Oreochromis niloticus: one gene and its partners. The protein of the gene in region 3 purifies or fractionates together with the protein of the main gene of each other region. This does not show direct contact. Links are inferred from orthologs where the notes say so. Each region holds a gene or a part of one and is shown on either strand. Other genes may lie near its edges.

Evidence for each region.
Region 1: the proteins of anapc4 (region 3) and ccna2 purify together in Homo sapiens (affinity purification with western blotting; 3 studies listed by BioGRID). This does not show direct contact. The link is inferred for Oreochromis niloticus from reciprocal best matches to the Homo sapiens genes ANAPC4 and CCNA2.
Region 2: the proteins of anapc4 (region 3) and mad2l1 purify together in Homo sapiens (affinity purification with western blotting; 14 studies listed by BioGRID and IntAct, with this or other methods). This does not show direct contact. The link is inferred for Oreochromis niloticus from reciprocal best matches to the Homo sapiens genes ANAPC4 and MAD2L1.
Region 4: the proteins of anapc4 (region 3) and anapc7 purify together in Homo sapiens (affinity purification with western blotting; 14 studies listed by BioGRID and IntAct, with this or other methods). This does not show direct contact. The link is inferred for Oreochromis niloticus from reciprocal best matches to the Homo sapiens genes ANAPC4 and ANAPC7.

Annotation. Positions count from the first base shown.
Region 1 is NC_031966.2:11,829,595-11,837,214, forward strand, and holds the start of ccna2 (cyclin-A2), read left to right. Parts: upstream 1-4,607; 5' UTR 4,608-4,754; exon of another isoform or gene 4,755-4,776; intron 4,777-4,866; 5' UTR 4,867-5,092; coding exon 5,093-5,302; intron 5,303-5,808; coding exon 5,809-6,067; intron 6,068-6,148; coding exon 6,149-6,255; intron 6,256-6,427; coding exon 6,428-6,651; intron 6,652-6,741; coding exon 6,742-6,946; intron 6,947-7,020; coding exon 7,021-7,134; intron 7,135-7,363; coding exon 7,364-7,497; intron 7,498-7,603; coding exon 7,604-7,620. Other genes in the region: BBSome complex member BBS7, read left to right, coding at 329-493, 607-716, 826-929, 1,177-1,300, 1,405-1,538. UniProt on the Homo sapiens protein: Cyclin which controls both the G1/S and the G2/M transition phases of the cell cycle. Functions through the formation of specific serine/threonine protein kinase holoenzyme complexes with the cyclin-dependent protein kinases CDK1 or CDK2.
Region 2 is NC_031967.2:3,973,051-3,980,424, forward strand, and holds the start of mad2l1 (mitotic spindle assembly checkpoint protein MAD2A), read right to left. Parts: upstream 3,010-7,374; 5' UTR 2,872-3,009; coding exon 2,808-2,871; intron 2,343-2,807; coding exon 2,196-2,342; intron 862-2,195; coding exon 741-861; intron 1-740. UniProt on the Homo sapiens protein: Component of the spindle-assembly checkpoint that prevents the onset of anaphase until all chromosomes are properly aligned at the metaphase plate.
Region 3 is NC_031986.2:37,123,576-37,130,435, forward strand, and holds the start of anapc4 (anaphase-promoting complex subunit 4), read left to right. Parts: upstream 1-3,844; 5' UTR 3,845-4,108; intron 4,109-6,198; 5' UTR 6,199-6,206; coding exon 6,207-6,314; intron 6,315-6,412; coding exon 6,413-6,518; intron 6,519-6,599; coding exon 6,600-6,732; intron 6,733-6,818; coding exon 6,819-6,860. UniProt on the Homo sapiens protein: Component of the anaphase promoting complex/cyclosome (APC/C), a cell cycle-regulated E3 ubiquitin ligase that controls progression through mitosis and the G1 phase of the cell cycle.
Region 4 is NC_031977.2:6,444,870-6,452,594, forward strand, and holds the start of anapc7 (anaphase-promoting complex subunit 7), read left to right. Parts: upstream 1-4,702; 5' UTR 4,703-4,819; coding exon 4,820-4,920; intron 4,921-5,403; coding exon 5,404-5,590; intron 5,591-6,123; coding exon 6,124-6,243; intron 6,244-6,897; coding exon 6,898-7,009; intron 7,010-7,172; coding exon 7,173-7,326; intron 7,327-7,418; coding exon 7,419-7,561; intron 7,562-7,698; coding exon 7,699-7,725. UniProt on the Homo sapiens protein: Component of the anaphase promoting complex/cyclosome (APC/C), a cell cycle-regulated E3 ubiquitin ligase that controls progression through mitosis and the G1 phase of the cell cycle.

The DNA of each region.
Region 1 (7,620 bases), on a different chromosome or scaffold from region 3:
TTTATTATGTGTTTGTAGTGAAATGACATGGAATTTCTAATTTTGCTTCCAGTTTTTAGCAGCCACATAATCTCCTTGGTGGGTTTAATATGTTTTTTATCATTTTTTTTGTGTTGAAAATAAATATGATTACTTACTTCTTGCTTTTAGTAACCTCTACTATGTTTTTCTATGAGATATGTGACATCAACTCTGTGTTGTATGTATAGATTACTGTTAATAGCAGCAACACAGAAATGTTCTAACACAGTTCTTTTATCAGGATTTCCCTTTTTTCTCATAAAACCATTTGTTCTCGTTTCTCTTTGCTTTTCTCACTCTATTTAAGGCCAATGAACAGGCTCAGTCTGGTGGGGCAGTTCAGTTTTGCAGAGATCCACTCCTGGGTGGTTTTCTGTTTGCCGGAGGTACCTGAGAAAACACCCGCAGGAGACAGCATCACATTTTATTTCCACAACACCTTCCTTGGCACACAGCTTGAAGCCACCTACTGGTAAATGCAGGCACACAGTAGACAAGCTCTAAACTACATACACTTTAAGTTTTTCAAGAGTTTAATAGGTAGTTTCATATAGTTTAATATATTGAACCATTTTGTATTCGCAGCAAAGGGGAGGGTCACTTTAAGTCTGACAACATCTCTACGATCTCCATACTGAGTGATGTTCTGTCTAAAGAAGCTACCAAAAAGAAAATCAATCTCAACATTTCGTACGGTAGGTGTATCATTGTTCTATTTCAATACCATCTGTCAGGTTTTATTTTTGTTTTGTTTTTTTAACAGACGAAATGGAAAACCTGTATTTATGTTTATTAATCTTCCAGAAATCAATGATGACTCTGTGAGCCACACCCTTAACATGATCCATCCAAAGCTGGAATACCAGCTGTTGTTGGCTAGAAAAGTTCAGCTCATCGATGCTCTTAAAGTAAGTGTAAAAGCAAAACAGATATCCGTTCCTTTGAACTGTGTTGTGTAAATTTGCAGTAAAGTGACAACTTTATTTCCATTGCATCCCTGCCAATACACTGTTGAAACTGTTGCAAATCTGCTGTGCACAGTTTAGTGAAACGATACAGTTTGCTCAGATGTTTCTTTGAGTGTAATTTAATGAAGCTACTAATATTTGCTTCCTATTTCCCAACATGCGTCTCTACCTCCTCTGTGGTCATCAGGAGCTTCAGGTTCATGAGGGGAATGCTGATTTCCTCATTCCAGAGTATCGCAACATCTTGGATGAATCTGCTAATCTCCTTGAAGAGTACAAGAAACAGCCAGCACACCTTGAAAGGCTTTACGGTGCAGTGTTTTAACAGTTTCATGTAACTGATCTCATTGTGATCCTTACCGTATTAATATTGTTGGCCTATGGTAGTTAATATTTTTCATTCTCTTTCCTGTAGGAATGATCACAGACCTCTTCATCGACAAATTCAAGTTCAAGGGCCAGAATGTAAAAACCAAGGTGTCCGCATTGCTGGAGATACTTGATAACTATGACTTGAATTCTCTGTTAGATTTTTTTAATGAGGCCTAAGTTTTTAATAGCTCAGAAGGTATTCATTTACTTGTCTTTGAATGTTTGTGCTATTTTTGTATTCTAATGAAACACCTGTTTCATGGTAGTATCTCTGTGTTTATGTAATGTTATTAAATATATTTAGTTAGTGTTTGTCATAGCTACCGAGCACAATATTTAAATATTTATGTCTTTTAAAGTATCTGGAAATAACTACAACAAAGTTGCCTATATGAATAGCTGAAATTTGAAGTGACCAAATATATGGTTGTTAAAGAAACATGTGATGTATATTTTTATGTTATGGTTTTCATAGGACTGATGTTCATTTCTTCAAATAAAAATGAAATGATGTAAAGTTCATCATTCAGTGGAATAATGCTACTACAAAAATCAACTTGTATAGAAGAAGACTTGCATAATACAGTGAATTTTAACAAAGAGCCAATCAAGTCTCATTCATTAAACGTACATCTACACTATCATGGATAGCAAATCTATAGATTGCTTCTATTGTCTGATAGAAGCAGAAGTACCAGAAATCAAGTCCTGCAAAATCACACTAACGCACAGTTGTGGAGGTTAATTGAATACATATACTTTGAAGGACTGAAAGTTCCAAAGTACTTTTTCCACAGAAATTGTATTTTTTGCTACTTTGTGACTTTACTGTGCATTACCATTTATTTGGTATCTAGTGTCCTTGCACTTTTAAATTTGACATACAAGTAGTTTAGAGAATATAAAGCAGAGGCAGATTTAGCAGTTTGCATTGTCATTTAAATTGATGCCATCTGAAACGCTCCCTAAAAGATGAGCAAATATATATATGTAACATGCTCTTTAAAGGGGAATTTCCTTTATTATTGTAAGTATATTTTGCTGTTAACATTTAGTGAATATTTAAACATTATATTATATTAAAGATTAAATATTTAAGCTTTTACTTGCAATAAAATACTCGAGGTTATTAAAATTGTTAACTAAATGACTGGATAGAATAGAATAGAATAGAATAGAATTCAACTTTATTGTCATTGCACATGCACAGGTACAGGGCAACGAAATGCAGTTTGCATCCATCCAGAAGTGCTTTAGCCGTGATATAGATATATTACAATATATATTAGCAATAATAGAGATGTGTAAGTATATTACAGAAATGGGTCTATTATGGTATGTTATAATGTACACAGTGTGAAGTATGTTATGAATATTCTATAACTATAAGTATGTACAGGCTGTAGTGAGTACAAGCTATGTACAGGCTATGAACAGGATATAAATATGAAATAAAAACTATACAGAAATCTGAGATATACAGTTATACAGAAATGTGAACTATGTAAGTTATAAACAGTTGTAGGATTAAAAATTATCGTATGTACAGAATGATTATTTACACAGAACTATACAGTAGTGATAAAGTGCTAGTGGTTGTGGGTGTGTGTATGTTCAGTCCATGAGTTTAACGTGGGTCAGATGTCAGGAGGCAGAGTTCAGGAGTCTGACAGCTGTGGGGAAGAAGCTATTCCGGTACCTGGTGGTCTTAGTCCGGAGGCTCCTGTAGCGCCTCCCAGAGGGCAGGAGGGTGAAGAGTCTATGTGATGGGTGACTGGGGTCTCTGATGATTTTCCCAGCCCTTTTCAGACACCGCTTCCTGTAGATGTCCTTTATGGCAGGAAGTGGTGCTCCGGCGATGCGCTGGGCAGTTTTCACGACCCTCTGCAACGCCTTCCGGTCCGAGGCAGAGCAGTTCCCGTACCAGACTGTTATACAGTTGGTCAGGATGCTCTCGATGGTGCAGCGATAGAAGTTCACCAGGATGTCTGAGGACAGGTGGTTCTTCCTCAGAGTCCTCAAGAAGAAGAGGCGCTGGTGAGCCTTCTTGACCAGCTTGGAGCAGTTGGTCGTCCAGATGAGATCCTCGGAGATGTGGACTCCCAGGAACTTGAAGCTGCTCACACGCTCCACAGCCGTCCCCTTAATGTGGATGGGTGGATGTGGGTCAGCATTCCTCCTGTAGTCCACGATGAGCTCCTTAGTCTTCTCAGTGTTAAGCAGCAGGTTGTTTGTGTCGCACCACTCAGCCAGACGATCCACCTCCTCCCTGTAGGCTGTCTCATCGTTGTCGCTGATGAGGCCAATCACCGTGGTGTCATCTGCAAACTTAATGATGGTGTTGGAACCATCAGCAGGTCTGCAGTCGTGGGTGAAGAGGGAGTAGAGGAAAGGGCTCATCACACAGCCCTGTGGTACACCGGTGTTCATTGTGATTGTAGATGAGCAGCAGTTATCCAGCCGGACATGTTGGGGGCGGTTGGTCAGGAAGTCCAGTAACCATTTGCAGATGAGGGAACTGATGCCCAGGTCTGTCAGTTTCCTGATGAGTTGTGAGGGGTGGATTGTATTGAATGCTGAACTGAAGTCTATAAACAGCATTCTGGCGTAGGTGTTGTTGTTGTCCAGGTGTGAGAGGACAGAGTGCAGATGGATGGACGTACAGGATGGACGTATAGTTCAAACTGCTTTGTAAAAAATATTTAAAAACAGTCATATCAGTAAAAGCTGACGTTTAGTTGAGTTTATAGCAGTGACTGCCTGTTCATATGTCATATGTCAACCATAGCGGTCCACTATTTATGCAAAAGTAGAAGGATATAAACTTTGGTTTTATGTGCAATTTACAGACAGCAAATAATTCGTTTCAGACTGATTTTAAAGGCAAGCACACTCACTTAGCCAGGTAACAACTTCTCTGATTATGTATTAATTAAAAATTAAACTATAACCAAGCCAATTCAAAAAGTGGTTTAATTAATTTTTGTATTGCATGCAGTTAGTACTTCCCAACACAAGTCTTCAGTCAGATTACAAATGGTTCAGATAAACAAAATGACTAAATGCCTTGGGTAAACTGTGTGTCTGAACATTTATGAAGACAGCAAAATAAAAAAGGAAAAAAATAAGATCTTATCCTCTATGCGTGCATTTGCTACACAGGCCCAGCTGACTTAATAACGCGATTTTACGATCAAACGTGCCAAACCGGTTTTGAATTTAGTAATCAGAAGATTATTGTACTCTTCGGGTTCCCGTACATTTTACGCGTCACTGCCTACGCGGCTTCTGATTGGTCTGTTTCAATCCTCGCGGGCTACTTGAACTGAGAGAAAGCTGCAGTCTTTACAGGTTTCTGTGTAAATGGATCGAGGTTAGCTCCCTTGTTTCCAGGTTGGTAGTGAATTCGAAACTCGTGAGTTATGGCCACTTAAATTGTTGTTTTTCGACTGTAGTCATTGTACCGCCGATTGTGCATGTCTTGTTTTTGTCTGCTTTGTTTTAGCACGGGGGTTCCAAGTGTGGTTACCATCTCAACAGCTTAGTTTTGATTGTGAACAATTATTTAAGCTTTCTTGGCAAGGCAGCAGCTAATGATAACCTCGCTATAATTATCCATATACTTGATCCCTTTCTCCACGCATCATATTTGAGTGCTCATTTCCCAGGAGAACAAGCACCCAACAATTGTAGTTAAGCTAGCGGAAGGCAGGCTGGAGTTGGAGGGCAACATGTCAGGCGCTAACAGAGCACAGGGAAGCGCGGCTAGTGACTACCAGAATCAGGAAAATGTACTGCAGAGACTCAGAGGCTCGCTCAAAGCCCGACCTGTGGCGTCTGAAAACCAAGAAAACCTTCCTCCGAAGCAAGCCGCCAACAGAACCGTGCTAGGAGCCCTGCAGAACAACCAGAGGAACAAATCCCAAGTCGGCGGAAAACAGGTAACAATGCTAACTGGTGGCTGCTTAGCTGGTGCTGCGGTTTGCTGTTGACTACATGTTTTGGAGGCAATACATTTTACCAAGTCCCTGCTTGTTAAAAATACTTGCTGCTTTTCTGATTTCTTAAAACTTTATATTTACAAACTCGCGAGTGTAGTTGTCTACGCCCCGTTCCCACCAATTGACCGCCATTTTAATATCAACATTAACGTGAAGTCAGTCATGTAGTTGGCTGCTTAAAACAATAGACATGCCTTCTTGAGGGTGCTTTATTAACGTTTCCCTCCCGCCAGTAGAGATAACAATTTAGTATTAACATTTAACCTGACTGGTGTAATATCATCTGAATGTTCTCAATCAAGTGCAGAACACTTCTTGTTCTAATGAGCAGTCTTCATCTAACCACTAAGTTGAGCAGCATGCATGCCCTTGGATGGTGTTGCTGTTTCCAATCTAACAAGTTTCTATCCTGTGGGCCATGGCTGAATTTTTCTCTTCTATTCCAGGATTCCACACAATCCCTGTCTTGTAAAAATGAAGACTTTGGGAAAAGCTGCTTTGATAAACCGCTGGCCAAGCAACCCGCTTTCCAGATCCATATTGATGAGCCTGATGGAGCCTGCATCAAGAAGCCACAGCAGGCAGTTGAGAGTATCAAAGCAAAGCCCACAGTTGAAGAATCCCCACTGGCGATCAATGCTGTGGCACGGCTCCGGCAGCCCCTTGCCACTATTGAAATTCCATCAGCGATGGATGTCAGCTTTGGTGGGTTTAAAGGAAATGATGCTAGCAACTGTTACTCTGATCTGGGTTTTTACTGGTTACTAAATGTAAAACTCTTCTCAGATTCTCCAATGGACATGTCTGTGGTTGAGGGGGAGGAAAAACCAGTGAATGTAAATGAGGCCCCAGAATATGCAGCTGAAATTCACAGCTACCTGAGGGAGATGGAGGTGAGAAATTAGCATACGAAGTGGTAAAGCTGAAAAGCATATCAGAATTTGCTGGCAGTGCTGCCTTCTTGGACACGTCCCCTGGCAACATTTTCCAACCTCAACCTGTTGATGGTGCTTATCTGATCCTGTTTGCAAACTGGCTCTTTCTAACCAGATTGTCACCCCACAGGTGAAAACCAGACCTAAAGCTGGCTACATGAAGAAGCAGCCTGACATCACAAATAGCATGCGAGCCATTCTGGTTGATTGGCTGGTCGAAGTTGGCGAAGAGTACAAGCTCCAGAATGAGACACTTTATCTGGCTGTTAACTACATTGATCGCTTCCTTTCCTCAATGTCTGTCCTAAGAGGCAAACTTCAGCTGGTTGGCACTGCAGCTATGCTGCTAGCTTCGTATGTACCCATTTATATGTCAGTTTCTACAAATGTTCAAAGCCCACTAATTCGCAAACATTACAGTTGTTCCTTTTGAATGTTTTACAGGAAATTTGAAGAGATCTACCCACCAGAGGTGGCAGAGTTTGTTTACATCACAGACGACACCTACACAAAGAAGCAAGTGTTAAGAATGGAGCATCTGGTGCTTAAAGTGCTCTCGTTTGACCTGGCATCACCAACAATAAACCAGTTTCTCACTCAGTACTTCCTTCAGCACACTGTTACCAAACAAGTGGAGAGCTTGGCAATGGTGGGCATGACATTTCTGTAATCTTAAAATGATCTAAGTGCATTGTCTAAACATTTGTTGTTTTTCATCTTCAGTACCTTGGTGAGCTCAGCCTGGTTGATTCAGACCCCTTCTTGAAATACTTGCCATCACAGACAGCAGCTGCGGCCTATATCCTGGCCAACACCACAGTGACTGGTGCCTCATGGGTAAGATCTATAGACCCATACAAATGGGGAACTGGGAGGTATTGGTCTGTGTATATAGGTGGAAATGCCAATGTTGTCCAGCAGAACAGCCAATAACTGCAAAACTTGTATCCACTCTTAACTGCGGTTTAAAGTTGATCTTGTCAAAGTTCATGCAAGCTTTAGTTTAGTGTGGGAAAATGTATTGGTATATTTGAAGACACAAACTGACCAAAGTTGTGCTCCTTAGCCCAAGTCCTTGAACGAGATGACTGGCTACTCTCTGGAAGATCTGATGCCATGCATTGAGGATCTTCACCGCACATACCTCAATGCCCCTCAGCATGCACAGCAGTCTGTCCGGGAGAAATACAAGGGCTCAAAGTAAGTCAGCAGATTTGCTTAAACTTCAAGGGCAACCTTTGTTTACATTTGGAGCTGTCTGATTATATAGTGCTAGATTTTAAGTCTAAACCCTTCTCTTCCACAGGTACCATGAAGTCTCAA
Region 2 (7,374 bases), on a different chromosome or scaffold from region 3:
AGCCGAGAACGCGAAAAAGTCCCGGATGTGTTCTCGCTCCGCCCGTTTTATCGAGCATGCATCGGTGTGGACTTGGTACAGCTAAATATCCCAGAATGCATTTCGTCCAAAACTCAACAGCGGACTCCGGGCACATCGTTTTCAACCCCCCCGCTCGCGGTCTTCTCACTACTCAGGTTAAAGAAACCCCAGCAGCTGTCTATAGTATTGAGTGTCCACTAAAATAAAAATAAAGCGTTCTAATTAATTTTTATTAATAGAGGTTCCACTACTGAGGTTAAAAATGATATATAAGTCACTTAGATCACTTCTAAATGTTAATGTTTGGTTTATTTCAGTGTTTTATTTGTTCCTGAGTAAACCGGTTTGGCTGTGATTAAAGTTAAGCTTCATAACATGTTACTCACAGTTAAATTAAGAGGGGACGGCAGTAAAAACTCCGGACCTGTGACATCATCACGTACACAGGTGTTCCAATTGTACATATCGCGAGTCCGTGCTCGCGTTCTCGGCGGGTACGTACTCCCGTGTGTTCTCGGCGAGTACGTACTCACCGAGAACGCGAGTACGTACTCGCGTACTTGAGAATTGAGAAACGGCCATCACTCCACTCAAACCGATGGTGGGGGAAGTACAAGTGCAACATGCCAGGTGTTGGAATTAGATGAGACAGCAAATTAATGACCCTTCGCATGGAGCCTTTTTTTTAAAAAAGAAAAAAGTCTAGTAGAGGTACTGACCTGCTCTCTTTAGCAGACTTGTCGCACTCAATGTCAAACTGCCATCTCTCGAGCACCTCGTTGGTTTCCAGACATGTAATCACCAACACCAGCTTTTGCACAGTGCACTCAAAAAGCCACTCTGCAACACAAAAAGAGCAAACAAATTTTTAATGATGTGTTGTCATGAAAGGTGAGAGATAGTTAAACTCCCTAAAAACATAATACAAAGATGTAGAGAATTTTGTATCCACAACTATATCCAAAAGATCACGAGTTCTACGTCTGTGAGAAAAATAGCCATTCTGAATATGGGCTGTAAATGCAAATGTACACTAAATATTGTACACATTGTGGCAAGAATGACCACCCTCAACCATAATGTCTTTATCTAACCAACATCATCAATAATTCAGTAACCATTCTGACTAACACCAATTCTTAAAATCCCAATAATCAAGTTAAAACATCTTTAGAACTTAAAGGAGAAAAAGCACTTATACTCTGTGCTCCTAGATATGATTTGTATTCTGTAATTTTACTACTCTTAGCATTACACAGTTGAGAGCTTCAGTGATTTGACATAAGCACCCAAAAATATGAATATTCTGATATGAATTACATTAACTAAATTTGAACTGAAAATCCAGAGACATTTATTCTATTTAGTTTTATTTATATTGCACTAAAAATCACAACAGTCACTTCAAGAGACTTTATACTTTAAAGTAAAGACCCCCACAGGCTTAAAAAGAAAAACAATCAGATGATCCAAGAACAGCAAGCACTAGGCATTGATGGGAATGAAAAACTTCTTTTCAACAGGAAGAAACCCGAGGAGGCAGCCATCAACAGTTGGGGGCATTGGATTTAAGAACAAAATAAAAAATAAAATATAATATTACAATGGCATCACCTTGGACAGAAAAGGGTGCACCGATCTCTTTCCTCATTCACACACATAAGTATTTATGGCAAAATCAAAAATTGGCAAATCAAAAATGAAAAAAAAAATCTAAGTGTTTTTAACCAGAAATAGCTTGTAGTTCACCTGACAAGAGCCTAAGAGTAGCTTAACACAAATTTGTGTAACATGGGAATGGAAACTCACGTGTGCTGCTTTGTATGTTACTTAACGTTGATCATAAGATGCCAGGTCATACCAATTAAAATCTCAGGCATGAGTCTAATAGGCATCTGAGTTCATCCAATTCAACACAACAAAAAGGGGAGGGGGAAATGCACCACCATGTGGCCCTACTCAGAAATCGCAATTAACAAGTTACTATAAACTATCATTTATTGAGTAAAGACCGATAACCGAATTATCAAAATAAATAGACAAAATCATTCATTGTTCACAAACATCATCTTATTTTGTATTTCAGTACGGCTTAAGCCTTTACTTTTTCTTGTTGAGTTTTTCCACTTTCTACTTGGTTGTGTCACGAGTGGAGAAGCCCACTATTGAGATACCTTTAAGTTGAGACACCACGTTAGTCAGATAGTTCTTCAGCTTGAGGTCAGTAGTGAGTTGGAGACTCATGTCATAGTGGGTAACTCTGGTAAATGTCTCTGGAGGATAGATGCCCCGTTGGTACAGGATGCTGTTGATGCCGAAAGCTGTTTATGACAAAGGGGGAAATCAAAGGGTTCAAATACGCCAGAATTCTAGTATTCGTAAAATTTAGAGGCTTATGTGGTTCAAACTTAAAAGGGATAGAAGAGTATAAAAACAACTACACACAAACAGCTAATAACACGAGAGAAAACTAACTGGGAATCAATGAATATATTAGCTCGGCAGAATAGAAACCATATATGGTGTACATTCACGATTCTCACTACAAGGGCCGAAAACTAGACAGTCTTTACAAATTATTCGGTTTGAAGTTGTGAATTGACGCTTATAGGATACGTCAGGCTTAAACACTTTATTTTTGATCAACAGCTTGTCATGTGAGTGCATACATGCTGCGTTGATGCTAATATGTTATCGGGCACTATGTAGGCCCAATAGCATATTAGCTTTACATGCATGCATGTCGAAAACGAGCGACTAAAAGATGAAATAACAGAAATACTTACAAAAGAACTCGGCTACTAACTCCGCGCTTCCTTTGAGAGTAATTCCCTTCAACGTGCTTGTCATTTTCTTAACACTTTGGTTGAGTTCTCAACAATAAATATATTGTACGTTTTTCTTTTAATTCTTCTTCTACGTCTTCCGACTTCAACTACCCGCCACCCAGTTTGAATTTTGTCAGCTTCCACACAATTGCGCATGCGTGTGAGATTGGGGCGCAAGGTTGATGACGTCTTAGGTTACGCTTACAATTTTGCGACACTAGAGAGCAGTGTAGAATAATAATTCAACGCCACGGTCTGAACGTTACACAGGATTGTTGGCATTTATTTATTTTCTTATGTTAAAGCCATTTCTATCTTTTAATTGACTGTATATTATTGTAATGTGTCACTGTGCAAATGACTGAAGTAATAGGTTAATATTGTAGATACCACGTTTTAATAATCCTAAAGGGGTCCAAACAACCATTGTATGCAGACTTGGAAAAGTCCCTCAGCTTTCACACAAAAGAATCAAAATTGCAAAACAAAAGAAAGACAATTTCAGTTAATGCTAGCTTTTAAGTCTTGTTGGCGCTGTACTTCTCTTTTTGCTATGTGCTTTTTTATATATATATCATAGATGTTTTTTTCTCAGTCAGTAATTGGCTTTTTCTTTCTGGAGGAAAGCCATGCGGGACCTGCACACCTCCAGGACCACTAAGTGGGCAGATTAGATTTGACCAACTTCTCCCAAAATTAATGAAAAGCTTCGAACCTTCTTTGGGAAACTTGTGATTCATGAAAAATGGCTTCTTTCCAGCTGCAGCTGGTCTCATTAACAAGGTCCCCACACAGACACAGGATATGAACACCACACATCAAACTGTCAGAAAGTATTATTATTTACACATCTGTTAACCTTCACTTCTAATTCGTACGTTTCATTTACATTTGAAACATCAGACAGTACTTAGTAGGTGAAAATTTACAGTCATTCATATTTAGGTCAGGTAATGTTTTTTTCTCAAATTTCTATTTCATATTTACAGTGTTTTGACTATTATGGTACTTGGATTTTCTCACACTTTGTATATTTTTTTTACATACCCCAGTGATCTCAGAACTTTGTTTTCCAGACAATTGTTCCCTGGTATCATCTCCTAAGACAAATTGATTTGGGTGAAGAGTCGAACGAACTGTGATTCAGAAGATACCTATGATGATAAAACCTATGAAATATGATACCTCTTCCAGGAAAGGGATACCTCAGCCCTACCACTGAGGGGCCCACTGGCAAGTGTATGGTGGCCAGGTCATAACTCATGGGGACCTGCCAGACTCTGACTGAATTATCCACATGGGCCAGTCTGTCTAGTGGGCCCACCACCTGTAGGAGAGGCTGTAGGAGTCAGGCACTATTTTGCTAAGGGAGGGGGTGGACTGGTTCTAGGAGGGAAACAGCTGGAACTTATACCACAGGTTGCAAGATAGGAAATACATATGTATGGCCTCACCTCAGTGGGGATAATAGGTTCTGAAACCAATCTTTTTTTGAAGTACTGCCCACAACTAGAGTTGGTTTTGATGAAAGATAAATGCAGAAAAGTGTATGCTCATATGTCAACAGTTAGGTACTTATATATTAGGGTTCTCTCCAGTGAATAAGACATTGCTTCCTGCACCTTCGGGTTGGGGAATGGGTCCTGGCTGTTTTGCACATTTCCACATATGCAAAACAAACAAGTTGAGCTGCTGCTTTTCTACAGCTGAGCCATTTGAGGTGGTTTGGGCATCTGATCAGAATGACTACATTCTTCATTCTCATCAGAATGATGAGAGGATCTCTTCTCAGTTGGAAGTTCCCAAAACACTTTACGTAGGAGGTATTTTGGGAACTTCCAACTGAGAAGAGATCATTAGGCAGACTAAGAACATACTGAAGAAATTATGTTTCTCAGCTGGATTGAGAAGATCTCAGTGTCCCACCCAGAATACCTGGAGGAGATGGCCAAAGGAAGGGAGGTCCCAGGGTCTCTGCTGAAACAAAGGCTGCAACTGGGACCCATATTAGCAGGAGAAAATAAATTCTATTCTCACTACTTGAGAATAGAATTACTTGAAGCACACACAACTCTGCATTAATTGCAGTCACAGACTCTGGGCTACAGATCCTTGCATACATCCTTACATAAAAAGGCTCAAGAGGATTAAGCACATTCAATGGACCCATAACAACAACACATCCTTCCATAAATTAGCTTTTCAAGTTCCCTGTAGATGTTCTAAAGCACTTCTTAATGCAGTCCCTTCAGCTTTCCTCCTAGCTATAGAAGGTAATGAGGTAACTCATCATGCATGTCATAGCCTGATGTCTTTTTCCTCAACCACAAGCATGTTGCCATTCATCACTGGAGTCTCCAAAAGCTCATTTAAGTCTTTTTCTCTATGACACAATGTGCAGTCTTCAACTTGTATCATCTTGCATCAGCTGATTCAGCATCCAAAAAGTTGTGAAGCAGTGTGAAACCTAAATATAAACAAAATACAATGATTTGAAACCCATATTTTATTCATAATAGATAATAATAGACATACAGAACCTGTAAACAGAGAAAATGTACCATTTTAAGGAAAAAATGAGAACATTTTGATTTTGATAGCAGCAACATGTCTCAAATAAGTTGAGGCGGAGAAGCGGTGATGACCTTCTTGCCTGTGAAATATTAATTTTTTATATTTAAAATTGACAGTATTTTGTGCTGTTGACATCTAAAATTATTTCATAATTGAGGGCAGTTGTGACTCAGGAGGGAGAAAGGCTTATTTATCGGTCAGTGGTTTGATCACAGGTCCTCCGGTCTACATGTCAAAGTATCATTGGACAACTTACAAAACCTCATGGTGTTTCATTCATGCAAATGTGAATTTGTGTGTTTATGTTACACAAAGGATTAATATTAGACAAAGCATTAGAATAGCAATACTGTGTGAAAGTTCAGCATTTGATAAGTTGTTTATCATGAATTAAATTTGAGGTTAAATTATATCTAAATGTTGAATTTCGTCTTTCTTTATCTTTTCAGTTGTTACTCTTCTGTAAAACAACTGGCCTTTTCGCATTGCAAAACCTGTATGCAGTCCATCACTCAGATCTGATTTTTAAAGTTTTTGCTGTCATTCCTGTGTGACCATTTTATTAACCAGTTTAAGTTGGAGATGGTAGGATAAACGATAAATCTATATTCCAGGTTTGAATTATACAAGTTGCAATTACAGTAATTAGCCACATAAAGGCAGTAAATCTAGAGACATAGTGTTAGGAGAACTGTAATCTCTCAAATAGTGTTGGTTGGCTTGAGGTCATTTGTAACTTCAGTCCAGCCCTCATCTTCGAGAGCCAAACTGGTATCACTCGCAAAGCCTCTGTTGGTCTGTATTAACAGCTCTGTGGTTTTGTATCAAAGGACTACAGTCCCAGTCATGTTTCATAATAAAGACTGTGGGTGCTGGCATCAAGCCTTCTCAAGAATTGTTCTGGCGCCATGAATCTGGCAAGAACACCAGCAGATACTGGACTTTGATCAAAGCCTGTTAGCCATTTTGTTAGATGTGATCAGACAATGTAGCATTTGATAACTCCTCAAAAAAACCTTACATAATCTTTAAAATGTAATACAAATGTGTTAACAACTACACTGCAGAGTCACTGATAATAATAAGCTCAGTTTTTAGCTAAATAAGCCAATGGAGAGACAATATTTTTTACTGCTAAAATGAACATCTCTTTATTGAAAAAATATAGTACATTATATCTATATCAGATCTGCATCCACTGAGCTAAATGAACTACGTTCATAATGGCTGATACCTGTACCCAGCCAGCCATGTGGGGCTTGTTGAGCTTTTCAGTCTGTTACTATTTTCAGAACCTGGTGGAGTAACTAGCAGATGCAGAGAAGGCCAGGTTCAGTGGGGATGTCTTTTTAAAGGTCACCCCACCTCCTGCATGCTGGTTGAAACATTTTTTAAGCTAGGCCTCATTCCAGCTCAGAAACTATAACACAAACAGGTAATGATTTAAATTAATTTCAGAATTAGTAAATGTATAAATAAAACTAAATTGAACTTTAGTCTATCACAACTGTTTGTCTGTTTTGTGTTTCTGCAAATACAGGAACACACAACACACATCCCACTGTGTTGAGAGTTGTGTGAGGGAAGATGACTGCATGTACAAAAAATGGGCTGTTCTTTTTGAGGAAATAGCTTTCTAACAACCAGGTGTTATCTTTCTTTTGCCTCCTAAGCTTCATCTGGTGGTTCTGGAACAAAGTCTTCACTTCTTAAATGAGACTAATGAACTCCACAGTGACCAGAAAGTGCACGTGGAATGCATACTGTATTGTATTTCATCAACATTCATAAATTCCATACTTGTTTGTGTGTTAGACCGGGCATACAGCCAGTTTCTTCATTTCAGTTGTGTTGAGGTACAGCTTAGCACTGAAGCACTGAACAAGATGACAAGGTTGTCTGGACCTTTACTTCTGAATTAATCACAGGAGTAATGGGACACAAGAGAGTA
Region 3 (6,860 bases):
GTTCTGTTCGTCCTCTGTTTGCTCTTTCCTGGTTTTGTGGGTCCAGGTTTGTCTTGTTTAAGTAAGAATGAGTCGAAAAAGAAGCTTCTCTTTCCAGAAGAGCAGCCTTATTGGTCAGGCAGGCAGCAGGATCTCTCGGGTTCAGGGTCCAATAGCGTACTGCCTCTGCAGTGGCCTGCTGTCCCATCTGTCCCGGTCCCTAACTGCTCACTGTGTGGGGCTATATTTGGCCCCTGGCTCAGGTTTCACAGCCAGAATACTGGCACGAAGAGATAGTGTTGAGGTAGTCCAGGGGAACAGGAGGCGGCGGTGACATTTTTATACTGAACCAGTATTTGTTAATTAAAAACTGTAAAGCCATGCTGTTATAATACTTCAGATTGCACACCTGCAGTGTACTCCTATAAGCCCTTACCAGTAGGTTTACAACACCAACTAATCTGTGTAGTCAAGATAAATAATATGCATCCTGCAGAGTATGTCATTCTCTATCTAGTTGAGCCATCTGACACTAAAGTGACTTGTTAGTGTTGCCTCTGTGCCCAACTGAGCTGACCCACTGACCCCAGACCCCCCGCTAGCTGGTTTGCCTAGAGGCATGGCATCCTACAATGGTCCTGGGACCAACACTTGGGTCGAGCTCAGGGTTCAGCTTCAGTTTAGTCAAGGTCAGTACTGTAAACATAGCAGTAAAGGTCTAAATGCAAGTGATGGCTCCAGCATTCATAATTTAATTCCTTACATTTTAAGAGCATCAGAGAAAGATGGCAACTGCTTGTCACAGGGCTCATAGCCTCTACGGTGATGCCACTGTACATTTGACACAAGACACTGTGTCAAATGCTACAGGGTGGAGGTAAACAACATATAAGCAGATGTTGTTGCTTTTGATAAATATATTTATTGTTCAAAAGCAGGATGCAGAGAAATATGAAAAAGGAAACAATTGCGACCAACTACCTGCGTCAAAAAAAAAAACCCAATATGAAATAAAGAGCAGCAACATTCTTACTCCTAATTTGACTAAACAAAAGAACAACACTGTGTGGTGTTTGTGGGGTGCATCTAATTGTGTGTTTAAACCTAGCCAAACCACTGGCACTAATCATTACTTCAAAAACACAATTAACTTCACCTAGTATCTGCTTGCAACCTTGCAAGGTCCTATAGCACACAGTTAAACTTTGCCCATGCATATGGGCAGTAATAGTAAAATTGCAGTTTGTAATTTATAGCGACTAGTGACAATTTTGTGCTTTACTGTAATGGTACACAAATGCACCTTTTAAAAAAGGTATTCAATTATGTATAGGAAATACGCTATTTATATCGTGGTTCATTCACCAGCTGCTTTGGATGTTATCAGTACATTCAAAGGACTTTATTAACAGTAATCAGCTCCACAGATATTAGCCAGTACACTTGGAAATGAACACGGGCATTTGTATAGTGCTTTTCTCAAAAGCTCAAGGCTTTATTCATCTCATACACATATCCACTCTTACTGTGTATGTGAGTGTAGAGTATAGACATGTGGAGATCCATAATTAGCCCTACAAGGTATATATGTGTCAACTGTGCCTATAGAGAGACAAAAACGGACTTTTACTGTACTCTATTTTTCGTGTAAGGCCAGTACAGTGGGGTAGAAAGACGCAGACAGTGAAGGGCCATGCAGCCTCACTTGATCTATTTATGGGCCACTATCACATTTTGTGCTCTCAGAGCTATTCTGGTTCTTCATCAATCCACTGATTACAGTCAAGAGTAGGTGATAAGTCTGGAAGGAATTTCCTCTGTAATAACTATCTAGTCTGCACGCACAGACACACCAGCTAATGAGTAATCTTACATTCAACTTGCTTGTCATCCTACCCCACTTAGCAATAACTTTGTAAGGTATCATTTAAAAATAACCACATTATTTAGCAATGACTACTAAGCATTACAGTTTGTGGTCTACTGTATGTAAGAATAGCCATGGAACATTTCCAGCAATCCTTTATGGGCTACCATGTGTGCAAAAGGTCTTCCATCATAAATTATATTTACAGTGTTTTGGTTATAGGCATATGGTCAGACATAGACATCATTTGTTGATGCTTAGAAATATCAACACATCTATGTATAATTGTGTAATGTATAATTTTGTATAACATTAAGCCACCGAGGTAGAATTAATTTTTTAAAGGGCTTTTAACAGCTAAAAACAACTTACAAAAGTACCTGTCTAATACAAAACAGTAATCCAGGAACACACAAGGAGTTTGAGAGCACACAGGGCCAAACAGGGACAGACAGACTGACAAGACTATACAGGGCTCACTCAACACATGTAAAACTAATGAGGTCAAGGCAGACAATCACAAAGAAAACAAAAACCTTGGTTGCCTGGAATGTCAGAAAAAAGGTAGGGAAGAAAACTAAGACTACAACAAAACAGATGGAGACAAAGACAAGGAAGTACATGAGACACTAGGAATAAAAGAAAGGATATTTAAAAAAATCAGGGGCCAAAACTCAAACATGTGAAAGGAAACCAGAACTACTACACACACGAATCCAAAAGGTTAATGCAACAGAGAATTAAAAGGTTGTTCTTTTGACACAAAATAATGAAAATGTGTTCCATAAATAAACCAGGTATACACCCAGGAAGTCAAAAGCTCCTGAGTTATTTATTACAGCTGAAGTGTTTCTGCTGTTTCTACTGCTGCACAAAAACAGACATGTTAAAACGTGCATAAATGAATGTGAACAACACAAAACAGTTTCTTTGCAATGGATTTCTGAAGATTAAGAATGGCTAAAACTCTTTAGTGTCAGTTTAAAATGGCTTTGCACATCTGTCTGCTTTTTTAAGTGCTAAAAACCGTTTGCTTCAGTCTTCAGTTGTTTTTAGACTCATTAAATTCAATCATTAAAGAATACAGACATAAAATTGACAAGTCTCTGCTTTTTTTAGTTGGTGTATAACAATACAGAAAGGGCCATGTGTTGCATATAACAATGACAATGACAATTTTATTTATATAGCACATTTCATTACATGAAAAGTCGACATGAAAATGAAAAAATATTAATAACTCTGTAGGTTTAAAGTGCCCTAAGGCAGTGAAAACAGCAAAGCAGAACAAAACAAAATTTAAAAAAATAAAAAATAAAAAAACAAACAAACTTATAAATTGTAGGACTGTGTGAATAGAAAGGTTTTTACTCAGTTTTTGAATGTACATACAAATGTAATTGGTCTCAAGTCAGCAGGTAGCTTGTTCCAAAGAATAGGACCACAATAACTGAACCTACCTTCAGCATACTTAGATCTGATTCTAAGAACAGTTAAAAAGTCTAAATCAAATGACCTGAGAGGTCACACATAGCATTGCAATAATCTAACCTACCTGATGTGAATGCATGGACCAGTTTCTCAGAGTCAGCTTGTGATGGAAGTTTTCTAACCTTAGACATATTTTTAGTCAAGGTAACCTTATTGATGGGATTATCAAAACTGAGATCATTGTCCAAAATGATGCCAAGGTTCCTGACTTGCTCACTGTGTTTCAGAGAAACTGATGACAAATAAGAACAAATTTTTTGTCTTTGACTTTTTGGACAAACAACAAGTATTTGTATCTTGTTTCTGTTCAGTTCTAAACACATTTGATAAATTCACTAGTCAATGTAATCGATGCAGCTCATTAGTTTGTGAAAACATTTTAAATCATCAGAGGAGAGAAGTGAGAAGTACAACTTTGTGCCATCTGCACTTTTCCAGTTGTCATTTCAAGTTTCATTAAATTGCGTTTCTCTCTTAGTAAATTTGTCCCTTGCTTTCCGCCGTCGCTCCGCAATGATTGGTTAAAAGAAAAAAATGGCGGCGTCCGCGTAGTTGTAAAAACATCGCGAAGCCGCCTTAAAATTAAAATTTCGGCGGCGCAAGACAGTTTGGAACTCACTGTGTCGTATTATGGTTATCATATTTCCCCGCTTGTAATGTCCTAAATCATAAAAAATATTATCCATGGCCTTCTTTCTGCATTAGCTTGCTAGCAAAACCGCTAGCATAATATCAGTGGAACAGAAAGATCTCATCTGTCAGCTTTAAACGGTAAGTGAAGCTTCAGATTAGTTTAGATTTAGGTTGTGGTTTAGGTTTAGATATTTTATTTATTTTTATTTTTTAATGCCTGGCTGTTTTTAACAGAGATCATAAGAAGTAACCTCATGAGGTTCAGGAACCTGTCAGAAAACTATAAAGAAATCTGATTTTTATCAGTCAGTGAATCTGTTTATCTTAATGCACTATAACAGTGTTGTTTAATATGATCTCCATAATCATATTAGAGGTCCACGACAATACAGATACAGATTTATGACAACTTAAAGAAAAGTTCTGAATCTTTTGACCCTGTGTTTAAGGGGATCTTTTTTGGCGTATGAGATCATTTTACGGGCATGGTTTGGCTCCACTTGCCCCCTTTGGCCTGGGTGTTAAGCATAACTCTCAAGGAACAGTAGTGACCCACTGAATGCCTTTGCAGTGGGTAAAAATTACAGTTATGTCAGAAATTACTGCAGTTTTTCAAAATAATCTGCTGTCCCTTTTTTCCTTTAGAAAGCTCAGCGTATTTTCAGATTTTGTTTCAGTTTTTTTAATCATAAAGACATTCAATTTTAAATTCAATTCAGTTTTATTTATATAGCGCCAAATCACAACAGCAGTTGTCTCAAGGCACTTTGATATGACACCCCAGTACAGGGGCCAGTTCAGTATTCAGCTGAAAGTGGTGTGAGTGTTGTGTAGTGGTTACCACATTCACCTTCTTTTAAAGCTCCCTGGTAAGTGAGAGCGTTACGTCTGGTGCAAAATCTGCCAAATCAAACTCGTGGATTCATTTTATTTTCAAGGGAGAAAGGGGGGCCAAAAGTTACCAGCCAGTGGTGTGATTTACACCTCTGCAGGCTGAATTTGATCTAAGAGGCTAATGCCCTGCTACCTTTTCTCAAACACCCCTACCTGTCTGCTTCCCGAAATACCTGTACAGAAACTGTGGTTCACTACAGAAACGTTTTCTTTGGACAGGTACAATGAGTATGTTATCTGCAGGTTATATTAATTAATAAAGCATTAATACTTCAAGCGCCGCTCCGAGCTGGCAGCGAGTATCAGCAGCTCCGACCTGACCGAGTCCTTTTTTCTCTTTAATTATTCTATATGTTTCATTTAATTTTTGCAGAGACGAGCATCAGTAAATAATGATCATTTAAAAAAAGTGCACTCACAAAAATGAATCAGGCATTAGTTACATCTATCTTAGTATATCTTATCTTGTGTCTTATCTTGCTTGAAACAGCCCACGGCACAAAAAATAAACAGAATGGTGAATCAATTAAAAAACAGCCTGGTGGTATCAGTGTTTAAGAAGGTCACTATACTGTATGTACTAACCTTGAATTTAAGGCTAAAAAGACAGCTGTAATATTGAGATGTTAATAAATCATCTAGTTATTTTATATATAATTTTTTTTCCTCTTCATTCTCTTATAAAAGAGACGACAAGGAACATGTTATAACTGGAAAAATATATCTACATGGAAATTGCATATATTTTTAAAGACATATTAGACTCTTTAGAATCTACATTTTAACACAAGTAACTGTAGTTTCAGAATGTATTTGTTTAGTAATTTTTCATTCTTAGCATTGATTTGCAGAGAAGAAATCAATGCTAAGGTACATTTAATGTGTTCTGGCAGCACTTGGTGGCCAAACATCTTACTAAGAGACCTGACTTTAGTTTTTCCTTCAACGTCAACAACACTAATAGTACAAATAATTAGCTAAAAAAAAATTGAAGCTGTTAATTAGTTAGTTTTCTGTACTTTTTGCAAATAACCGATTGATAGTAGTGTCTGATTTGTGAATTGTAATAATATTGTTGATCAGTATCACAGTGAAAAATGTATTTTTTTCAAGGGAGGTAATGAACATACTATTTGTTTCTGCTGTCAAATAAAGAGTTTGACATAAGCACAATAGTGTCATTCTTCAACAAAGGCTCAGCTGATTTTTTTGGCTCTGACACAAATAAAAGCAAAACTGTACAGAGAAAACGTTCACGAAACGCTTAACAAAAAATGTGTTTTCCAAGTATTTTTGAAAGCTGATATCTCTTATTTTTATTAACATTTTTTCAGCCAAGAAAATGCCTGCCTTTCGGCAAGTAGGAGAGAAGCAACTTCCTAACCCTGTACTGTGTATGGCATGGTCTCCCAAGAGGGATCTGATTGCTCTGGCCAACACAACTGGAGAGGTACTATTAAAACAATTATTCTGAAACACAGCTCCGTATTCTGTGTGTGTGTGTGTGCTTTTTAATACTTTAAATACTTGGCTTATGTTTTTCCATAGTTGCTGCTTCACCGCTTAGCTGGTTTCCAGCGTGTTTGGACCCTACCACCCAGTGAGTATACTGGGAAGGAGATCACAGCAATTGCCTGGAGACCAGATGGCAAAAGTAAGGAGTGACTGTGTGCATCTTTTGCTTTTTTCAGTCATGTGTTTGATGGAATCATGATGTAATATATCCTCTCTTCAGTTTTGGCATTCAGTCTTGGAGACACTAAGCAGGTAGTCCTGTGTGATGTTGAGAAAGCAGAGATCCTCCATGTGTTTCCTATGCAAAGTCCTGTAACTTGCATGCACTGGATGGAGGTGATTGAGGAGAGCAGGTATGCATCGATTGAGGCTCAGGAACCAAGCCAATGGTGTGGAGGGTGTGTAGAATAATGAGAGTGATTGTTTTGATGTGTTTCAGTGCCCTCAGCTCTTTTTACAACTCAGAGGATGAATCCAAACT
Region 4 (7,725 bases), on a different chromosome or scaffold from region 3:
TTCAGAATTTTGGTATCATAACAATCAGTTAAGCTGACATCAATAGTACACAAGTAAAAGAGACTAGGGGGAAAGTGGTAGCAGCTTAACAGAGAACACAAGCTGACATGATGCAGCTGACATACTGACAAGGTAACCAAGCTCTGGTTTTTCACTTATGTAAACAAACTTGAGTAAATAAAACCCAGCAGAAATAAACTATTATGACAAACTCGTGGCACATAATTTCAGAGGAAAACAAATCTGTGCTGGAGTCCCAGACACTTATTTGGTGGATATCATGTAAACTGCAAGCCCACGTTGTTTACTGATGCTGACACACTTCACTGTGGGAGGTATCTAGCATCTGTGAATTCACAAAGAGCAGGTGACTAAAAATGAATCAGCAACAAGTACTATATACACTCAACTGAGCTGATTGAATTTTCCCGAGCCACCGAGAGACCGACCCACACAAGGCATTATGACGAATATCTCAGTTTTTTATATTTCAACATGGCATGTTCTTGAAGCACTCTTTTAACCTTGGTCTTATAGGAAATAGATCAATCTTACACTCTGGTTCCATGGGAGCAGTCTGTTGCTAAGGACTGAAGAAACAGAAAGATTACTTTCCACATCCATTCATTTTAAAGCCTTAATTATACTTCGTGTCTGTAAGCCTGCTAGAGTCCTGCCAATTTTTTGTAACAGTGTGGATGTCCACAGAAATTCTATGATACGATGCACCAACAACACATACAGCCCACAGAAAGTCTTCAAATAAAAATAACAGGAATAATTACTTGACCACTGACCTGTGGTTTTCCTCATTTGATGTCATATACAATAGATATTCATAATAAAGATGACCAAATTATGTCAGCATATGTACAATTAATCAGTATGACCCAAAAGCTCAGGGTTCACGCTGATTTAAATGCTCTGTTTCAGGCAGTTGTTTTTTTTTTTTAATAACTCTTAGCTCTGTGTTATGTCATTGAGAGGTGATAATATGGCCCTGATATGGCTAAACAAATAAATTGAATACAAACATGAAAACTATGGGAACACAATAGATGAACCTTTACTTCACAGTTGAGCAAAAACTGAAACTCCATAAATTTTCATTTGAACAACCTGTTTACAGAATCGAATCGTGATGTCCAAAAATAATGAAGACCGCTGATATGAATCACTGACTTGAAAAGAAAAACTGCATCAAACACTGTCAATGATTCATTTTCCCACACACAGAGTAACTAATATTTGTATGTGATGGTCAGTTGGTGCAAAATCCCAAATCACTTGGATGCTGTCATTTTAACTGGATGCTGTCATTTTAATACAGCATGCTATATACAAACATACATAGCACTTGTGTTTGTCGTGTGCTGAAATTGGACTCACAAAATGTGTTACTTTAGCTAAATGGACCAGTTTGGCTGCAGTGTATTAACAGTGAATTAATATCATTTACATGATTAAGATTGCACGATTTCCCGGATATTGTTTTTTATATTTTAGTGATCCACGGCAGATTTCATCACCTGATCTTGAATGCTGCATTAAGTTCTTTTACCCTATCGGGTAAAATTATAATTGAATTATAGCATTAAAGTCATTAAATGAAAAGCTGCACCTCATATAGCAAAGTGTTGACTGAGGTATTGGTTTACTTTTAAAAGATGAGAACTGAAGGAACTGGACAGTCACGCAGCTGCAAACCAAACTTTATACCACGGGTTTTAAAGACTCGTGAATCCATGTGTCATTTACGGGGCACAACAGCAATAAAATCAACTACATCTCTGAAAAGACTTCAAAAGGAGAACAATAAGAGTTTCAGCATTGAGGGCTTGAATACTAATATAGATTGCCTCCCGCGTTAGACTCCGGGCCATATTTGATATCAGAAACGTTAGATTGTATCTTAAGTGGCTATATTATGGATTTGCAATTTCAAATCCATAATACTGATGTATTAGTATATAGATCTATGAAACCTTTGCGGTGCACAGCGCTACCATTAACAACGCTAAAGTGTTTAGAGCAGATGAGTGCCTGGTTGATTATTCCTTTGTTCCGTTAGCTAACTAATGCCCAACTTGCTAGCAAGCTAGCTAGCTAGACTGGTCCTGCAATGTGTTGTTTGAGGTGTTTTTGAGCTCAGTATACTTCAAAATTATGTATTTATTCACAACACAGGTAAGCTATTCAAAGCTGCTTAGCCACACACTCAGCTAGACTGATAAAGGAATCCATTATGCTGTTCGGCTACCTTTCTGAGCTTACTTCTATTGCGTAAACACAGCTTTGCCAAGCCACAAAAAAGCTAACGTTAGCTGCTAAGGTATGGAGCCTTTATGTCGGCTCTATTTGCTTACAGTTTTACATTATTATTACCTGCCAGTTGTTTTCGAAGAAGCAATGCTGATTGTTCGGTCATGGTATGCACGCGCAGTTGAAAAAAAGCACTCCGTGTAGACAAACACTTTACGAAGAGAAGAGCTAAACCCGAACAAACCGAGCTGAGATCTTAATGCTGCCCGTGCCTGCTGCTGATTTCCCTCTGTGTTTTGACACAAGCCTGAGCTGTACGCATGCGCGCCTGCGGTCGACTGTGTTTATGTGTGGCTTCAAAGCAACATTTAAATCAACAAGCAACAAACTGGAAAACTGTATCAGTCTTGTACTGCAGCAAAATCAAAATTATTCGCCAATGCGTTCGGGGAGAGATGTGTAGATGTGATTCAATAAGACTGTAGCGTGTACGAATGAAACTGGTAAATGTCCCAGAAGGTTGAATCTGTTCATCTGGACGTAGCGTTTTCAGTGGTTGAAACGTTTCGTCACTCATCCACTTCTTCAGTCTCAGCTGACTGCAGGATTCCCGAACCTTATAAACACTACAGTTGCACAATGACTGAAACCAGCCCACTGAATGAACAATGGGCTGTGAGGTCAGTTCCTTGATCATTAATATACAAATTGCCATGACCATTGATCGAAGCCCATTGATCAATGGCCATAAGTACCATTCACAGAGAGTTGGGGAATGGCTGCAATCACAGCATTGTAAGATGGCGAAAGATGTACCCTTAGGCCCCCTCCTCAGTTCAGAGATGGTCTTTCCCTTTTCACGTAAATTGCCTTCTTGACTCCTGCTCAAGCTAGTGTTCCTCCCTGCCCAGGATGTGTACATCCTCATCATTGAAAGAGTTTCCACTGGCTGGTAAATGTGTACCAGCCCCACCCCCAACCATTCAGATAAAGCATCTGAGGTCAGTTCTCAGGGAGACTATGATTGTTAGTGAGTGTTTTCTCTTTTCAAATAGCTACAGACACCTTTTTGTGATGATTTACACTGATTGATTGTTGTTTATTGTACAGTTTATTATCATTATTGTTGTGTGGTTTGTAGCCATACTAAAGTCTATTAGGTTGTGGTTTTGGCAGTCTCAGTCCAACCTAAATATTGGTTGGAGGAACCGATGTGCAAACTTTTTTTTTTTTTTGCTGAACATCATTTAGACGTAGTGGCAGCTCATTGCTTGGATTAAGTCAGCAAAATTAGCTTTTGAGCAACTTTGAGCAAGTAACATTTGGGAGTTTAATGTAACTGAAATGCAAGGTTACATTGTTATGTTCAATTAAAATTATCTTAAAATTCATCCAGTTATCTCTGTTTCACGTTGTCCTTTCACTTGCCCTTTTTACTTGAACACTTGTGATCACACAAAAAAGTGCAGTGCCTGAACAGTTATAATGTAAAACATCACCTCAACACAGCGCAATTCACCAAAGTGTCCCAGTTTACCTGAGTCCACCCAAGTAACAGTGCTTATTCAAGTGGTATCTTTATGGACAATTCTTAAGCAGGTGCGTCTCCAGAATATTTTTAAAAGGGTGGCCATATGGGGGCCACTAAAATATTGGGGTGGCACACCAAAAACAGAATTTCCAGTTTTATTAAGCTGTTGTCAAATATAGGTTACTTGAAAAAGATTTCCTGCTATTAAACTTGATATCACTGAAAACAGGTACATATGAAAACCAAATAATATTTTGAAATCCACTACTGGAAAGCTACCATGTGTACACATCTAAAGAAAATCAGATGATATATTAAGCTCACCGTTCTTTTGCATTAAAGAGAACGTGTTATACTCTTTTCCAGCTCCATTAACAGTTCAAAATAATCCTTATTCGTATAATAGTGGGGCTCACTGCTACCTTCATTATATTTCATCCACTATCTCAAAATTAGCATATAGGGTAGTCTGAAGCCTTTGTTTTTGACTCATATTTTAATATTAGATTAGCGACAATGTAAACTGTTTTAATATATTATAATTATATCACGTACTTTTATTACAGAATTTTGCAATAGCGTGATTTGATAAAATACGACAGTTTAGGTCAATAGTTGAAACAAAATTTCCAACTATTTTAAAAATAGTGCTGCAGCAAAAACAAATATGATGCATTCAAAGCTATCGCGACATGTGAGATTCAACAAATTTAGAATAATTAAATAAAGACGCCTTGGTCTGTAAAATATTTTGTAAAATGTAATTTCTCGTCCAACGTCCCTAAAATAAAAGTAAAGTCGATAAAATACTTATTTTACTCAACATCAAAGATTTCAGGCAGGTTTTTATTTTAAAGTTTTGAAAATATACGAGCTTTTGAAGAGCATTTAAACGCAGCACTATGCGGAAGGAAGGTCAGCCGTTGGACGTCTTATGCGTCACATGCTAGCTAACATTAGCCGTTCCAGAGCCCAAACTTTTAACCTGAGCCGGACACCTACAGCGAGCCTTTCAAATAATCCAAAATGAATGTAATAGATTATGTGCGGGATATGGCTGCAGCAGGCCTTTACTCTAATGTCCGGATTTTGAGTAGTTTGTTGCTGACGATGAGCAACAACAATCCGTAAGTCGTGGTCTGAGCGGGAACCGTCTAATTCCCGAAGACTGCTTTTCAATACCAGTGGTAGCGATACCCCCAAGCTAACTAGTCAACAACAGCTAACATTATTATTTCTACTGAAGCTTTTCATTATCCACTCATTATTGGATAGTGTTTAAATGCGAGTGCAATTTAAATTATATACATTGTTTACACTGTGTGTACTCCTTCACTATATAGTCGCATCTACAAGCGTATGCACTTAACAATGCTGCTATGAAATAGCTTGAAATTTAGCTAGTATTGTATTAGAAAACTTGTCGTAAATGTTCTCTTACCCAGTCATACTTTTGACACTCTAGAGTGACTGACTTAAAAACGGTAACTGTGTAGGACAATTTTTATGAGTTTGTGCATTGATGTTTTTTCGTGTGTCATTCAGTTTTGATGGTTTTCCTCAGTCTGAGCACTTTATTGTTTGTGTGTTGTTGTTTTTTTTAATGGAAGAGAGCTGTTCTCGCCGGCTCAGAAGTACCAGCTGCTGGTTTACCATGCTGATGCCATCTTCCATGACAAAGAGTATCGCAACGCTGCCTGCAAATACAGCATGGCTCTGCAACAGAAGAAGGTGCTCAGCAAAACATCAAAAGTTCGTACTTCAACTGGTGGAGCTGCCTCTAACATACAGGCACAGGTGTGTTTGACAATTTCCTGTAAACAAAAAACCCCTGAAATCTATAATAGCACTTTGGTCACCTGGGGGATTTTATTTTTTATTTTAAATTTGTTATAGAAATCTTTGGCTTGGCTTGGCTTGACACAGAATTGAACATTAGGGTTGCTGACGCCCAACATCTCTCCCGAATTTTTGACTCTTTCCATAGTAATTAAAAGTTGCCTTTCTCATTGAAACATTTAATAATTACATTTGATAAAGTTTGACTGGAGTAATGTAGATCCTTATCAGCCACTAACATTCTGGTAATTTGAGGTGTCTTTACCTGCAGTTGTGTTTTTTTTTGTTTGTTTGTTTTTTTAACAACACTAAAATCTCATTTTACTTTACTTTCACACAACGTAAATCTAAGGCTTTCATCCTGCCAGTGATTTATTAAAATGCCTTAAATGTAAAGATGGTTTTAGATGTCCTGCAGCACCACATGAATATCCAGAGCACAGGATGACTGGTTAGAATAATGTACATCTACAATGAATGTTGTCTTTCAGAGTTTGCCTTCAGAGATTGAGGTAAAGTACAAAATAGCTGAGTGCTACACCATTCTGAAACTGGATAAAGATGCCATTGCAGTGCTCGATGGGATACCATCCAGACAGAGGACTCCGAAGGTACAGTCTGTTAACACAGTGACTGTCAGTCACTGTTTACCTCATGCTTTAGTTTTATGTATTTATTTATTTTTTATACTAACTGATTAGACTAGTAACTGTGTGAATTCAAATAGTTGCTTTAGAACTAAATAATGAATGTACCTACAAGTTTAGGTTTGGTAACAATTCAGCAGTAGTTGTTTTAAAGTAAAATCACCTTCTAAGTAAAAACTAGCAGTATGAAATCTGTTAATTGGAAATAGTGTGACAGTTACAGTTTGAAGCCAAAGACTGGTCTACAGTCAAAAATACGACTGAAATGAATCTTAACAAACCTTACTAAAATTTGTTCACTGATGCTAAAATTTGTTAGTTGGTTGGTTTTCATGATATGCTAGGGTATTAGTTATAAGAACAGAAGTCATTAATTGAAATCAGAAATTACCTACATTCATTCTGACCCCTGAATTCTGGTAAATTTAGGGCCAAAGCAGTGTTGTGTACTAGTTTTCAGAACTCTACTCTTCCTAAGTTATTCGTCCAGTTTTGTTGAAATGGGGCTCATATGATATGGAACTGTATGAAGCTCTATTTAACCTTTTGAAACCAGCTCAAGTGCAGTAACTTGTATAAGTTGTAGTAATTACCTTTTTGCATTCCTTCCTGCCTCAGATCAACATGATGCTAGCTAACCTGTACAGGAAAGCTGGACAGGAGCGATCTGCTGTGACGAGTTACAAAGAGGTCCTCAGACAGTGCCCTCTTGCCTTGGATGCAATCATTGGTATGCATGTTCACCGTAGACTCTGTAATCTCGCAAGCAGCACTTCATCTGCTAAGATGTTTGTACCTGCAGTCCTCTCCTATGTCCATGCCGCTTTAAAACAAACTGTCTGCTTGGATTTAGCATCTCTTTTAAACAATTGAAAAATGTGTTTTTCCTTTAGGTCTTCTCTCTCTGTCAGTCAAAGGAGCCGAGGTGGCTTCCATGACTATGGACGCGATCCAGAGTATCCCCAACCTTGACTGGCTGTCTGTTTGGATCAAAGCGTACGCCTTCATACATGCAGGGGATAACCAGAGAGCTATTAATACCATTTGGTGAGCAAAGCAATAATGATTTGTACACAGTGACTGAATATTGTGAGCCATGTTTTGTGACAGTCTTAACTTCCTCCCTGAAACACTCTCAGCTCTTTGGAGAAGAAATCACTTTTGCGGGACAACGTGGACCTCCTGGTGAGCCTGGCAGATGTCTATTTCAGGGCAGGTGACACGAAAAATGCAATTCTCAAATTTGAACAAGCCCAGATGTTGGACCCTTACCTCATCAAAGGTGCGTTACAGGAGAGAACTTTTTGACTTACACATGTATTTTGTAGTTGATGACAGTTTTATTATCATATTCTGTGTGTCACACAGGTCTAAGTAGCCTTAATAAAGAAAGATGTGGAAACATGTTTGCTTTTTCAGGTATGGATGTTTATGGCTACCTGATGG